Astyanax mexicanus: one gene and its partner. The protein of the gene in region 2 purifies or fractionates together with the protein of the main gene of each other region. This does not show direct contact. Links are inferred from orthologs where the notes say so. Each region holds a gene or a part of one and is shown on either strand. Other genes may lie near its edges.

What was found. Proteins that work in one complex are often made in the same cells at the same time.
Region 1: the proteins of vapb (region 2) and vps13a purify together in Homo sapiens (affinity purification with mass spectrometry; 3 studies listed by BioGRID and IntAct, counting the BioPlex papers as one, with this or other methods). This does not show direct contact. The link is inferred for Astyanax mexicanus from reciprocal best matches to the Homo sapiens genes VAPB and VPS13A.

The regions. Positions count from the first base shown.
Region 1 is NC_064419.1:22,813,080-22,821,228, reverse strand, and holds the start of vps13a (vacuolar protein sorting-associated protein 13A), read right to left. Parts: upstream 3,188-8,149; 5' UTR 3,053-3,187; coding exon 2,953-3,052; intron 1-2,952. Other genes in the region: E3 ubiquitin/ISG15 ligase TRIM25, read right to left, coding at 5,646-6,178, 6,746-6,841, 7,140-7,284, 7,387-7,620, 7,775-7,870, 8,061-8,149. UniProt on the Homo sapiens protein: Mediates the transfer of lipids between membranes at organelle contact sites. Binds phospholipids. Required for the formation or stabilization of ER-mitochondria contact sites which enable transfer of lipids between the ER and mitochondria.
Region 2 is NC_064412.1:55,095,042-55,102,258, reverse strand, and holds the start of vapb (vesicle-associated membrane protein-associated protein B/C), read left to right. Parts: upstream 1-4,120; 5' UTR 4,121-4,401; coding exon 4,402-4,459; intron 4,460-7,217. UniProt on the Homo sapiens protein: Endoplasmic reticulum (ER)-anchored protein that mediates the formation of contact sites between the ER and endosomes via interaction with FFAT motif-containing proteins such as STARD3 or WDR44.

The sequences.
Region 1 (8,149 bases), on a different chromosome or scaffold from region 2:
TAAGGGCTTTCTATTTGTTTCATATGCTACATAACAATATGTTTCGGAACAAGAGTATCTAAAGAAAAAACATTTTGGGCTGGCTCATTCATTTCGTTCATCATGACTGAATTTGCATTTAAATTTGCAAGGAACATTTTTATCTCGTATTTTATCTCGCCACTATATAAAACTCAGCTGTATAAAAACTCAGATCACACTTGCAAATTAATTGGCAGTTCTGGATTGGTGATATCTGACTAGGCTCTATTCCAGCTATAGACATTTTTAGTTCTTGTTCCACACCCCACCACCATTAGAGTCAATGGGGGTCTTTCATACAAAACCTGAGCTGAGAAAACATCACATTGAATACTCTCTCTCTTAACACACTTAACACTGAAATGCTAAGACACTTAGAGTCTGTTTCCCTTACAGGGGTTAGGCCTACTTTTGGACTAAACAGTATTTTAAAGTTCCTTTTTTATTCATTTTTAAATGTCTAGTTGTGGGCTCTAGTATGAGTGAATGCCACAAGGGCCATTTTTCGTGAAAAAAAGTGATCCGGTGTTTCTGTATAACATTGGCGGTGTCTGAAAAAAGACAAGATTTCTGCTCTTGCTAATGAATATTCAGAAATGCAAACATATCCCCTCTGATTGGCTAACAGCACTGCAGTGGAGAACACTACCTGGCTACCTGCAGCTCTAAATCTCAAAGAACTTTTTTTTCTAAGATTCAGCCCCATTTGTAAATATATAGCACTATAGAGTGCTTTCAGCTTTGTCTTTCCAGAGCCAGAGTTAATTTAATCAAGCCCACCTTTTGAAATAAGCCTCTCTGCTGTAAAAAAAAAAAAAAAAGAAAATCGAGAATCAAATCGAATTGTGACCCTAAAATCGGAAATAAAATCAAATTGAGGATTTAGAGAATCGTGACACCCTTACTGTTTACATTTCTCTCAATTACTATACTACAAAGATAGTTTGAAGAAGAGTTGTTAAAATACCCAAAATGCTTTTTTTCTGTTTTTATAGTGCTTTGCCTACAATTAGCCACAGTTTAGTGCTAAAAAAATTATTCTCATTCAGAATTATTGGATGTTAACTTTTAAACTGAGGTTTGGTTCAGCCTTTTTTTAAAAACCTTAGCTAAGATTGGATAACACTGGTTTAAAAAACATTGTTTACACTTCTCTCATCCACTAAAATACACAAATATCTTAAATAATCTGTGTTAAATACACAATTTCATGATTTTTTTTGTTTCTACAGTGCTTTGCATAAAAAACACCCTCATATCTAGTAATCTAGCCACAGTTCGCTGCTGGAAAAAGATTGCAGTATTCTGATTCTCACTCAAGATTAATGGCTGTTTCCTGTTAATCTGAGGTTGGGTTAAACACTCACTGTGAATTGAGATGTTTTGTACAATATATTGAGTTTGTTATAATATCATAAACACAAAAAAAAAAAAACCTTTTTGAGAAGCTTAGCTAAGAATGGATAGCACTGTTTATATTTCTTTCATTCCCTAAAATATGCTGATAGCTTTAAGAAAATCTGTTAAAATGCCCAAATTTCTCCGTCTTTCAGTTTCTACAGTTTGCCTAAAGAACACCCTTATATCTAGTAATCTAGCCACAGTTTGCTGCTGGAAAAAGATTGCAGTAATCTGATTAAGATTCTCACTCGAGATTAATGGCTGTTTCCTGTTAATCTGAGGTTGGGTTAAACACTCACTGTGAATTGAGATGTTTTGTCCAATATATTGAGTTTGTTATGATATCAAAAAACACAGAAAATCAACCTTTTTGGGAAGCTTAGCTAACAGTTTGCTGCTGAAAAATGATTTCAGTAAGCTGATTATGATTCTCCTTCAAAGTTATTGAATGTTTACTTTTAAACTGAGGTTTGGTTAAACACACAGAATTGATATTAAGTTTGTTATGATATCATAAACACAGAAAATCAGCCTTTTTGAGAAGCTTAGCTAAGATTGGATAACATTGGACTGGATAACATTGTTTATATTTCTTTCATGCACTAAAAGACATAGATATCTTAAAGAATCTGTATTAAATTCCCCCAATTCATGCATTTTTCTGTTTCTACGGTGTTGTGCTGCATAAGGAATAACGTTACCCTTATATCTAGTAATCTAGCCACAGTTTGCTGCTGAAAAAAGCTTGCAGTAATCTGATTAAGATTCTCACTCAAGATTAATGGCTGTTTACTTTTAAATTGAGGTTTGGTTAAAACACTTAGTGTAAATGTATGATTTTTGTTATGATATCAGTTATCAGAAAGACAGAGATCAGCCTTTTAGAGGAAGCTAAGCTATGTTTACACCTCTGGAGGTTGACAGCAGTGTCAGAAAGCCTGGAATAGTTTGAAAACCGTAGTCAGGTTTTGAGGATAAAGCAGAGCTTGGGCTTTTTCTTCACACCCAGGCTTCTTGCAGAGGGTGTGAAACCAGTTCAGATAACCACAACCACGTGAGAGAGAGACAAATGGGATCTTATAGTAGCCAGGCTAATGTGCTTTTACTTTACTGTAATGACTGCAATTAACGCTAAATACACACTAACCTAACTACTTCATTCCTCTGCTAGTTAGCTAACCTAGCTAGATAGCTAACTACAAAGCTAATTTCAATAGCAACAAGGTTATATCATTTAGTTAAGCAGAAACGTTGTGCTGAAGTTCCCATTTAGATAGTTAAGGCTAGCCAGCTAACTACTTACTTAACCTAGCTAAACGTGACCAAACAAGGAATTAGAATTCCTGAAGTGTGTCAGTTAATCCCCCACTGAACCACAGCCCGTCAGAAACCTCCCTGAGCACATTTCTCAGCCCTGCTGTTTGAGTAAAGCTAGTTAACCTAGCTAACGTTAGCCCTGAAGGACAGACACCAGCAGCCGTGCTGCCCGTCCCAGCAGCGCCCACCGCTGTCCGCTGTCAGCGCCCTCACCTCCCCATATGCCCAGGTTCAGCTGCGAGCTGTCGAGGTTCACCACGTAGTCCCCCAGAAAGCGGTTCAGCACGTCCACCACCAGAGACTCGAACACCATGTTTCTTCCGGTTCAGCAGCGCAGCCACATTTCTCTCCCCTCGGTTCGAGCTCTGCGGGCCCGCGGACTGGGTGTCAGTCGGTGAGGTTTCCTGAAATAAACATTACAGGAGATCTTCACGCTGGGAGGGACCACGTTATTACACACACACACAACACGTCATTAACAGAGTACAACAGCGACCCCCAAAGGCTGACACGGGTACCAGAAAAAAAAATGTGTGTGTGAAAAAAATAAAAGGCCACTTCAGTTTTTGAATCAGCTTCTCTGATTTTGCTATTTATAGGTATATTTGAGTAAAATAAACATCGTTGTTTTATTCCATAAACTACGGACAATTTTCTCCCAAATTCCAAATCAAAAATTGTGTCATTTAGAGCATTTATTTGCAGAAAATGAGAAATGGTTGAAATAACCCCCTAAAAAAATAGAATTAAAACACTTTTTTTTCAAATTATATGGTGATGAAATGTAAAAGGCTGATTCAAAAGGCAGAAGGTTGAAGACATTATGTTGATTCAATGTTAAAATTTCAACATTAGCACAACCATTGAACATTAAACACTGATTCAACGTTTAAATTTCAACGTTAGCACAACCATTGAACAATAATCGTACGTTAAAATTTCAACGATAGCACAACCATTGAACACTACACGTTGTTTCAACGTTAAAATTTAAACGTTAGCACAACCATTGAACGTTGTTTCAACGTTGAAACAACAACAGACATTACTTTAGTCATATTTTAACCACATTTCAATATTGAAGATCGGTTGTGTGCCAGCAGGGAAGTTTTAAACATTTGTTTTAGCTGATCAGAAAAAGATAATAAATTCACTTTTAGCAGTGCTAGAACTTAATACAGGGATACTGAGCACTCCTAAAAAAGGGCTAGTTAAGGCCGTGGGTTTGAGGGCTGTTATTGTACTACTTGGAGTCCAATTGAGAACGCTGCAAGCCATGACTCAATTACGCTCCTGTAGCTTCTGTTTCACAGATGCTGTATTAAATCTGCAAAACAAACATGACCGTTGCCTCCTCAAACATGCTGTATTTACACAGTGAACACATTATGAATGAAAAATAAGAGAACATAATGTGAACTGACAACTCGTACAAACAATGTTACCTTGAATTTGTTTTGCCTGTGTGAGAAACATTAGCGATGACATTAAACCTTAATTTATGATTAAATTATATTGATTAGATTGCACTATATCTGTTAAATGCACTAAATGTACAAAAACTGTAGGTTTAGTAAAAATATTCCAAGTTAAAGTTCGCTGTCTTTGGTAGCTACTGTATTTCTCACACTAAGGCACTTAAAATCTTTAATTTTCCCCAAAAATCCTCAGTTCTCCTTACAATCTGGTACATCTTATGTATGAATTATATTTATGCTTACAATTCAGGTTGTAAGGGGCAGTAAAGCCACTCTGCTGAAGTGCAGCTTTATACAGGAGTTTTAGTTTAGTTCTCCAGCACAGAGACTCGAGACTGGAGCAGTATTAGCATTAGCCGCTATCCACACTAACCACTAGCTCTTTTGACGTTCAGAGGTGTTTATTATCGAACTGTAGACTGCTCCTAACTCCGGCTAGCACAGCTGGAGCAGAAGTAGCATTAGCCACTACCCGCGTTAAGCGCTAGCCCTGTCGCTGTTCAGAGGTGAATTATGCAATTATAACAAAGCTTAAGATTTTTAAGCTTAAATTTGGCTCAATATACACTGTAGCAGTCATCAAGAAATAGATTATTGATTGTGATTATTATTTTATACATTACATCTCAGCAGTGCCACAGAATGAAGTATTTTTTTAGAAAAGCAAAATTGATCAATATATTATATACTGATACACAATATATTTTTGTACAGCAAACAGGTTTTTAACAAAGACACTAGAATTACTGCTACTCTGTGCTTGTTTAAAGGCTTTTAATTGGTGTTACTTCTGAAACATTTGACACTGTTCTGTGAGGAGAAAATAAAAACCTTTTTTAAATATAAAAATGATCAAACATTGATAAACTATGATTTTGCTCATTTGCTCCACAGAAACCAATTAATTTGTTTTGAACTAACTTGGGAGCATCCTCTAGTGACTGACAAGCCAAAAATACATTTTATGCAGGTATTTGACTCTCTGTGCTATTGCAGACAGAGTGGAGAGAAAGTTGTTATTGACTGTTTTTCTGAAAGGATGAAGCTACTGTTTTTTCATTGTTAATTGAGTACATTTTTTTCCAATCGTTTTATCTTGCCAGAATTATACTGACCAATAATTTGACTAGATTTAAAAGCAAAATTATTTTTTATGTTCTGACAAATTAAAACCATAATCTAAATATTGTGATTGAAATCAAATGTTGAGTTTATTCAATTTGCTATAAAGACTGAAATTCACAGTGGAAAAGACATTTTAAATCTGTTCCATGAAAGTACACATTCTATAATGTATAGAACACACAGGACAGACTTAAAGCAGCTGTATTACATGTTGTTTCTAACAGCCTGTCAGAGGCTAGACTGCATTTTACTAGACTCCCTATAAGACTGTAGATGATCACATGATCAGCTTCTAACTGAAGTTTAATTAAGATCACATATCTGAAGAACATTACCAAAATCATAAAACCAAAATCCAGGATAGAGGGGCTGAGTGAAGGTGGTGTGGACTCTGTGGAGGAGGGTCATTGTGTCAGAGATGCTGTAGAAGGACAGAATTCCTGCACTGTGATCCACATACACTCCTATTCTGTAGGATCTGGAGACTACAGGGAGTTTAGTCTCTTTATTATTGTGTCTGAAAGAGAAACTGGAGTACCAGCTGTTCAGACTCCAGGACTGATCATTGAACCCAAATCCAGACTTATAATCTCCTCCTTTCCTGCTGATGTTTTTATAACAGACGGCAATATGAACATAATTCATGTTAAACTCCACCTCCCAGTAACAGCGTCCAGGCAGACTTTCTCTGCAGAGAACTTGGTGAACGCTATCAAATCTCTCTGGATGGTAAGGATATTGTTGTTTCTGGGGCATCAGAGTAGCTTTTCTGTTCCTCTCAGACAGAGCGATTTGTGTGTGGGCTGTGTTTGGATCCAGAGTGAGCTGACAGGTGTCTGATGGAGGAGAGAAAAGGAAAATTAATAATGTTTCTTAGAAACTTTTGTTAATTCTAACTTTAATTTACATATCATAATTCAATCACTCACACACCAATTAAAGTGTGTATAAATGTAAATTCAGATGTTCTACATTCTGTAAATCTGTTCATGTGAATGTGAGGTCAGTGTGAGGAGTGTGTGGTCGACTCTCTCTAAATCTAAAACTCAGTGTCCAGCAGAGGACGCTCTTTCACTAAAGTGCTGATAAAATGAATGATCTGAGTCTGACTGTAGTCTACAGCTGCCACTACTGCAACTATTAGCACCAAATGAAATGTCTGATAATAAAACCATGATATCTCTGTTGAAGAAGCGTCTCACAGATATTTAATTCATTCTGAAAATGAAGATAAATCACAGTGTGAGGAGGAGAACTGCAGTATTGTGTGATTATGGTTTGAGCAGCATGTAGATGGTCTACACTGACTCTGAAGAGCTTCTGTAGAAACTGGAGAAGGGAATCAAGAGTCCAGTTTTGAGTGTAGATGTGTGTGTATGGTTGAGTAAGTGTGTGATTCTCACATTTCAGGAAGTCCTCTCTGGTCTTTGGTTCAGGAGACTGAAGGAGCTGTTCCGATTTCTGAAGAGGAGCAGCCGTCATGGACGAAGAAATGAACCCTGAAAATGACAGAACACCTTAGATAGCAGCAATAAATCAAAAATGATGCTTGGATGTAGAATCAGTGTGAAACAGGTGAATAAGCAAAATTTTAAAAGCTCTGATGAGAAAACAAGTGTTTGATCTGAATATTTAGTTTGGAATAATGGAAATGAAGATGCAGTAAAACTACAGTTTTCCCCTCTAAAGTTTCTGCCAGTCTTCTGATCTTTCAAAATCTACCAACGCATGTTATCACATTAAATTCTCTTTCTTAGACTTTCTTAAAGATCCATCTTCTCACATAATTCTTTATACCTCCAGAAAACCTGACCAGTTTCGATTCCATTCGTTCCATCACTCCAGTCGCAGCTTTCTTCAGTTCCTCCATGGAGAATTGGTGACTGACTGGGATTTGGGGTAAGTCTGCAGATTGAGGAGGAGCTGAGAGAGACTGGAAACTCTGCAGAGAGATGAAGAAACACATACAGATGAATAGACTTTGTGAGGGACACTTGTAGCTCTGTAGTGTTACTGTAGATGATCAGAGAGTCAGAGATGTTACCTGGAGGAAATCGATGGGATCCTCTGAGTGTAGAAGCTTCTCCAGCTCAGCGTCTCTCCTCCTCAGATCAGCAATCTCCTGCTCCAGTTTCTTCAGGAGATCTTCAGCCAGACTCAGTTCAGTCTTCTCCTGAGCTCTGATCAGCTCTTTCACCTCAGAGCGTCTTCTCTCCATGAACTGAATCAGTTCAGTAAAGATCTTCTCACTGTCCTCCACTGCTGCCTGTGCAGAGCGCTGTTAGGAGACACACAGAGAGGAGGGGCTTCATCTGAAGCAGCTCTTTCACCTGCTACTTTCCCACAGTGGAGCTCAGTGGAGGTGGAAAGTGAGCCAACACTGGACTCTGACTGAGAGCTGAAATGTCTCCTCCTGTGCTCAGTATACTCACCCTGAGAGTCTCCATAGTCTGTCTCAGCTCCTGCAGTTTCTTCTCCTTCTGCTGGATTCTCTGCTGGGATTCCCTCTGAGTTTGCACCAGCTGTTTCTGTAGACCAAATCCAACAACATTCACGAGTCACCACACAAACAGTCACATAATACACACATAGTGAGTCAGTTGTGAATATCCGTGTCTTTTACTGTGTTTATTTCAGCTAACTAAATTTCGTTCACTGAGCTGCTTCACATTTGGAATAAGCGTTATGTTATGGCAGGACTGACAGTAAAGTTCTTACCTGTTTCTGAGCTCTTTCTGCTGCAGCTGAGACTGTCTTATGACCCCTGTGTTCGTCCATCACACACAGAAGACATATACACTGCTGAT
Region 2 (7,217 bases):
GATGGTCATTTAGGGGGAAACATACCCTATACTGGCGAGCTAGCTGCTTAACCAGCTCCTTACGAGCGGATCGAGTATGTTACACTTGATTTTGGCCATGCTCGTTGACCAGATCATGTGTGTAAACTATCTAAACTATCTAAGCTAAACTATCAAACTTGAGCTAAACTCAAACAAAAACATACTCTATGTTGGTTTTCAGCATGGATTAAACTCCAAAATGTAAAAGTATGGATGGTTAATAACATATCAGGATAGAAACTATAATATAATACACCCTTAAACCCAATATTTGTATTGTGGCATTATGTACAGTATGTGCCTTGGATGGTCTTGCGCTCCCCTCTTTATTAATATGAATGTTAAGCCTACACGTGGCTGTCTTGAAGCCACACTTTACAGTGACTTGCAAAAGTATTCAAACCCCTTGAACTTTTCCTTTTTGAACATTTTGCCCCCTTACAACCACAAACTTAAATGGATTTTATTGAGATTTTATTTGAAACGAAAATGATACACGGTTTTCATGATTTTTATCAAATTAAAAATCTGAAAAGTGACGTGCAAAAGTATTCAGCCCCCATATATCACTTAGTCTTCTTAATGGAGCCACTATTCGCTGCAGTTACAGCTATAAGTGCTTTGAGGTTTGTCTCTTCCAGCTTTGCATTTCTTCTTTATAAAACAGCTTAAGCTCAGCCAAGAATTTTAAAAAACATGTATCATTTTCGTTACACTTCACACTTATGGAATACTTTTTGTCTATCACTTAAAATCTCAATTAAAAAAAATACATTTGAGTTTGTGATTGTAAGATGACAAAATGTGGAAAAGTTCAAGGGGTATGAATACTTTTGCAAGCCACTGTATTCGTGCATCTAGATGGAGCTGTTGGCTCTGTGCACTGAATGTGTGAGAACTATTGGGCATTGTTCTTGTGGCAGAGCAGAGCTGTTTGGCCATTATCCCCTACAGTGATTAGTCAGGACCCGAGACTGAAGACCCAAATCAAATTACGTTATATTTAGTGAAATATATAAATACTACACCTTTCAGAAACTCGTAAAGTGGAATTTGAAGGATTGGAAGATTTAGGATTGTTCATTGTAATGAGAAACTTAACCTAATGAATTTATCTATTTGTATTTTGGTATTTGCAGATTTTATCTCCAAAGTAATCATTTATTCAGGGAAAGTGCTTTACTAAATGAAGATTGTATGGTACTTTTTGTGGTATGTGGTTATTATCCATTTATCCATTTAGCTTGGTTAGAATAAGAACACCATTCATTGTGATGTACAGTATATAAATATAACCACGGTTGTATAGGAGTAGCTTTATACGTATTTTTTTCTTTTTTATATTAATCTCACTCGATGTGTAACTGTCCAGATGTACTACCAGAAGCCTTGCACACAGCTCAGAATCACTTTGTTTTTGTTTTTTTTTACATTTTATATGTATTTTTTTCATTTTTCTTATCTCGTGCCATGTAAAAGCTTCTTAAAGTGTCTTTATAAAAGCAAAGTAAAAAAAGTTTCCATTTTATGTTAGGATGTGTTTATATGTGTATGTTACATTTAATTTGTTGTGGTATTAGCCTACGTTACAGAGCTTTACTCCTCAGCTGGAGCACACGTTCACATATTCACACATTCAGCGGAAGTTCTGTGGGTTTCAGTGGAATAGCATGTTACATTTAGAGTGGGAAGTTTGATTCTTCACTTCCCTTCAGCAGTCTAGAATGAATTAATTTCATGTTACTGAAAATGCCAACAGTCTTGGGCTGGTCCTGAGAATGTGTTGTGAAGTTCTGATGTATTTGGGTTTTTTTTTTGTGTATTGTTACCATGGGGGCATGTTAAATGAATGAATTTGGTCATCTTCAATGGTGTTCACACACAATGTAGTTTACATATATTTACCTTGTATTGCAATATTTACACAACGCACTAATTTAACCCATTGCATTTTAATCAGTTACTGTATAGTTAAAGAGGTTTATTTTTTTTCTTTCTTCGCTTGATTGCAAACAACATTGCTTGTAATAAAGGGATGTTCTGAGCTGTTTAATAGTAATAAAATGGCACAGAAACAGAAACTGCTCCGTGTGAGTTTTGTTTGTGCTATAAAGGAGAGCACACCTTAAAAGTTTACACACTGAGCTCAGTATAAAAAGTGTTCTAACTGGTGTGAAAAGGTGTTTGTACCCCTTTTTTTAATTTAATTTATAAATTTTTGCACGTTTTGGGTCATCAAACTAATCTAAATATTAGTCAAAAACCCTATCCGGACGGGATTCGTTTCTTAGAGGGTCCTGGGGTAATTTTCTCCCTTATGGGGGTACACTGTGATTTTAATCCCGTCCAGAACGACCATGTATGTGTTTTTCTCAGGTGTCCTCTGAAAAAAATTACCTGGTCCTCCAGTAATTTTAGTCCTGTCCAGACTCATATCTCTGAGTTTCGTCTCCTTGCGTTTAATAAAATAGCTACTAATAAAATAGCTAATAACAGGAGGCCACAAAAACATATCTTCCCACAAGTCAGTGCAATATTTCTTAGCTTCAATGGGACATGGCAAAAGTCATGGGATATGATACTAGTTTCTGTGTAATGACACGTGGCATGTTAGTGTATTAATCACTTCATTACACAAACAAGGTTTTGATACAGCTATTAGGTGTAAAATTACAGCTCAATTTATTCATGCACAATTTGTATTTGTATATTTGGACGGTCATTAATCTAACCTCTCATCAAGGGCCACTTTCTGACCACTGGACACTATTGGCTGGGTATTTCTGGTTTGCCAACTATTCTTAACCCAGCAGTGACACTGAGGTGCTTAGCACTCTAGCAATGCTGGTGACACTAATACACTCAAACACAGCCTACAATATACTGCTATCCTGATGTTAATACACTGCATGAACAAAAGTGTTGGCCCACCTGATCATTCATTGTTTCTTTCAATAGAATCGCTATGATGATTTGATTGCATTCAGCAGAAAGAACATTAGTGAGATCAGGATATTGGATGATCACCACCTCATCTGTAACTTCCAGCCAAGTTCCATTGATGCAACTCCATCAATCCAGAGAACACAGATCCACTGCTCCACAGCTTAATGTAGAGGAGCTTTATATCCCTCTACGCCAGGCATGGCATTAGGCATGGTGCCAATACATGTATGTTTATCTGCTGCTGAGAATCCCCTTCAAATAAGCAATACTTCTTTATAGAGACTGGACAATCTGTTTTAGAAATGGTTGCAAATGGTGCAAAATTAATGCAACACTGGATTGAATTAAATCTTGTGACATCGCAGAAGCTACCACAGCGTATGCATGTCACAATCAAACCTAAAGGCGGTCCAACAACAATGACAAAAAAGGTTACACACACCTATATTTCGTTGGACAGCCTTTAGCTTTGATTGCGGCATGCATTCGCTTTTGCGTCGTATCGATAATCTCTCTTCTGCAATGTCACAAGATTATTTTCAATACAGTGTTGCATTAATTTATCACCAAGATCTTGCAGCAGCATTGATGATGCAGTTTGGCATTGTCATCTTGGAATATTGCCGTGTGTATCATCAGGGAAGAAAAAATCTTCCATTGATGGAATAACCTGGTCTGGAATATTCAGCATATATTCAGGTAGCAGTCAGCTGACATCATTCTTTCAGCACAAACTGTTGCTGAACCCAGACCTGCAGACCAACTGCAGCAGCATCAACCATCAACCCCACATCATTTACTTACATAAATCCAGGTGGTGACTTATTTACTTATAATTTTTTTGACCAGGCAGTGTAGTTGACTTGACTTGACTTTTTGTATTGATCCTAATGTAATGTAATGCAATGTGATGTATTGCCTCGTGCACACTCTTAAGTGGCAAAAACATTCTGATAACCTGATGCCTGGGCCCTGTAACAGTGTCAGATTAATGACGGACACCCTTGTACACAGGGGTTTAAATGTCTGAGGCTAAGATAAGATATCCCATATAGGTTACCACCACCATTCCCCACTCTGGCATCACATCAGCCGCTGAGTGGCTGCTGGTGCAGGCGGCGTGACGTCACTCCCAGCCAGCCTCGCTCTCTCCCTCTCTCTCTCTCCCTCAGCCCGCTTTCCTGCTGCATCACAACATAGGGTAGCTAACCTAGCAGCAGCGCCCTGAACTCACTGTTTTTCAGCAGGACAGCTAGTTTTATTCAACCGGACGTGGCTTAAAAATATCGTCGGTTTCTGTAGTTATAAACCCGGCTAGCGTTAGCGAGTTATTAGCGCTGTGTGCGCAGGCAGCGAGTGAATAGTAGAGAGTCTGCGAGGGCTGCTGGTTCGTGTGTGTGTGTCTTTCAGTAGCGCCGTCCGAATCGCTGGGATATGGCCAGGCCGGAGCAGGTCCTGCTTCTGGAACCTCAACACGAGCTCAAATTCCGGGGTAAGACGCCCGCCCGGGCTGGGTGGGGGGCTGTGCAGGCGCGGGGCAGCACGCAGGGCTTCGTGTGTTTTGAAGGGGGCGAGGTAGGGTGGGTATTTTTGGGTGGGAGGGGGGTACTGCGAGATGGCGTTCATGATAGGCCTCGGTCCTGTAACGGTACAAGCTAGCTAGATAGCTAGCCGGCTAGGTTAGCTTAGTGGATGGCGAGCTGTGTTGTTTAGCTAACTTAGCTAATAGCTAACGTTAGGTTAGCTTGCTTGCTAGGTTGACATCCAGCGCCCCAACGCCCTTCACTTCACTTCAGTTCAGTAACGTTACAGTAACAGGAGAATGAGGAATAGACAGCTTGCTGTGGAGAGCTTAACCTGCAGCAGCTAACGTTATCTCAGCTAACCTAATGCTAATAAATTGTTAAGTTAGTTAGCTAACGTTAGCTTGTATAGGTTAGCTATAGCTGTAGTTGTGTGTGTAACAGTTGAGTTATATATTTATTTATAATGGAGCAGGTTTGACTAGACAGCTGGTGTTACTATCTTAGATAGTTTTAACTAACCCTGGCAAACTAGGCCTCTCCATCCACTCAAACGTATGAACTCAGTCAGTTTAGTCTTTCAGTAATAAAACTGAATAAAATAATCCATACCTGCCTATGTTAGCTAGCTAGCTAGCTAGGCTTTCAGGGCCTGTGCCTGGTTGCATTAGCTAATTTAGTTGTTTCCATTAAGAATGCCCTTAACAATTCCTTAAAGGTAAGTGTGTTGCAAAAAAAATGCCTTAAGCTAAGCGTTATCTAAGTATTTTCTTTAGGGAAACCCTTAAATGTTCCCTTAAATATTGATGCTTAATAATTCATGTAATCTTACATAAACTCTCTTAATGCTCTATTCTCTGAAAAGTTGTTTAATGGACCCCAAACCTCACCTAGGCTTGTCACAATAAGATTTTATTGATTAATATCAAACATCAGTAAGGAGAATGAGGGATAGACCGGCTAGTTATGTTAACCTAGCTAGCTAATCTAGATTGTTGGATATGTAACCAACTGGTTTATATATGTTAGCTAGCTATAGTTGTGTGTATTTACGAGGCTGAAGTTGGTTTGATATTCGCAGCTCCAGATTCGTTTGGCTCGATATTCGCAGCCTCGTATTCCCCGGCTGAAGTTGGTTTGATATTCGCAGCTGCAGCTTCACTGAACCACCGTGAACTAAAGGGAGCGTTCACAAACACCCGCTGTTTATATTAAACACCTCACAGATCAACACTGAAGGAGATAGAATGAAGAAAAGCAGTACAGCTGTTTATTAACAATGTAAATATACAATATCTTATTAAATGTAATTTTATATACACGACCTTCCATCACTTATTTTCTCCAGTTTTACTTACAACATGAATTTGCTGTTCTAGTGTAATTCATTCATTTCCTGAGTCAAAAATATCTGAAATAGAGATTTAGCCTCCTACTTTCAAGAAAACCTGGCATTATCCTGTCCGGAGCCAATTGTATATTGTAAAATATTTAATTACTGAATTTATAATTATATATTATAATAAATAATAAAAATATATATTTAATGAAATTATATTTTAAAAGCCATTGCTCTCAAAAAATATAAGGCAGATGTTCAAGTGTGATTTTGAAGAACTTTTTCATGTTGGGCCAGAACAAATACACATGATCTGAAGAGTTCTATTCTTCTAATTTAAGGAAAACCTGGAATTAGCCTGGCCCGAGCTGATTTTATACTTTAAAATGAACTGGCAACATGGAATACCGATCCATAATGCACAAAAAAATTGAATATAAAGCTGATGTTCCAGTGTGATTTTGAAAGACTTTTTTAATCTTGGGCCAGACCAAATACACATCATCTGAAGAGTACTAGTCTTCTACTTTAAGGAAAACCTGGAATTAGCCTGGCCCGAGCTGATTTTATACTTTAAAATGAACTGGCAACATGGAATACCGATCCATAATGCACAAAAAAATTGAATATAAAGCTGATGTTCTAGTGTGATTTTGAAGGACTTTTTAATCTTGGGCCAGACCAAATACACATGATCTAAAGAGTACTAGTCTTCTACTTTAAGGAAAACCTGGAATTAGCCTGGCCCGAGCAGATTTTATACTTTAAAATGAACTGGCAACATGGTATAACGAGCCATTTTGCACAAAAAAGCCACTGTTCCAGTACAATTTTGAAGAACTTTTTCATCTTGGGCCAGAACAAATACACATCATCTGAAGAGTACTGGTCTTCTACTTTAAGGAAAACCTGGAATTAGCCTGGCCCGAGCTGATTTTATACTTTAAAATGAACTGGAAACATGGAATACCGATCCATAAAGCACAATTTTTTTTATGTAAAGCTGATGTTCCAGTGTGATTTTGAAGGACTTTTTCATCTTGGGCCAGAACAAATACACAAGATCTGAAGAGTACTAGTCTTCTACTTTAAGGAAAACCTGGAATTAGCCTGGCCCGAGCTGATTTTATACTTTAAAATGAACTGGCAACATGGAATACCGATCCATAATGCACAAAAAAAACTTAATATAAAGCTGATGTTCCAGTGTGATTTTGAAAGAATTTTTAATCTTGGGCCAGAACAAATACACATCATCTGAAGAGTACTAGTCTTCTACTTTAAGGAAAACCTGGAATTAGCCTGGCCCGAGCTGATTTTATACTTTAAAATGAAACTGGCAACATGGAATAACGATCCATAATGCACAAAAAAATTGAATATAAAGC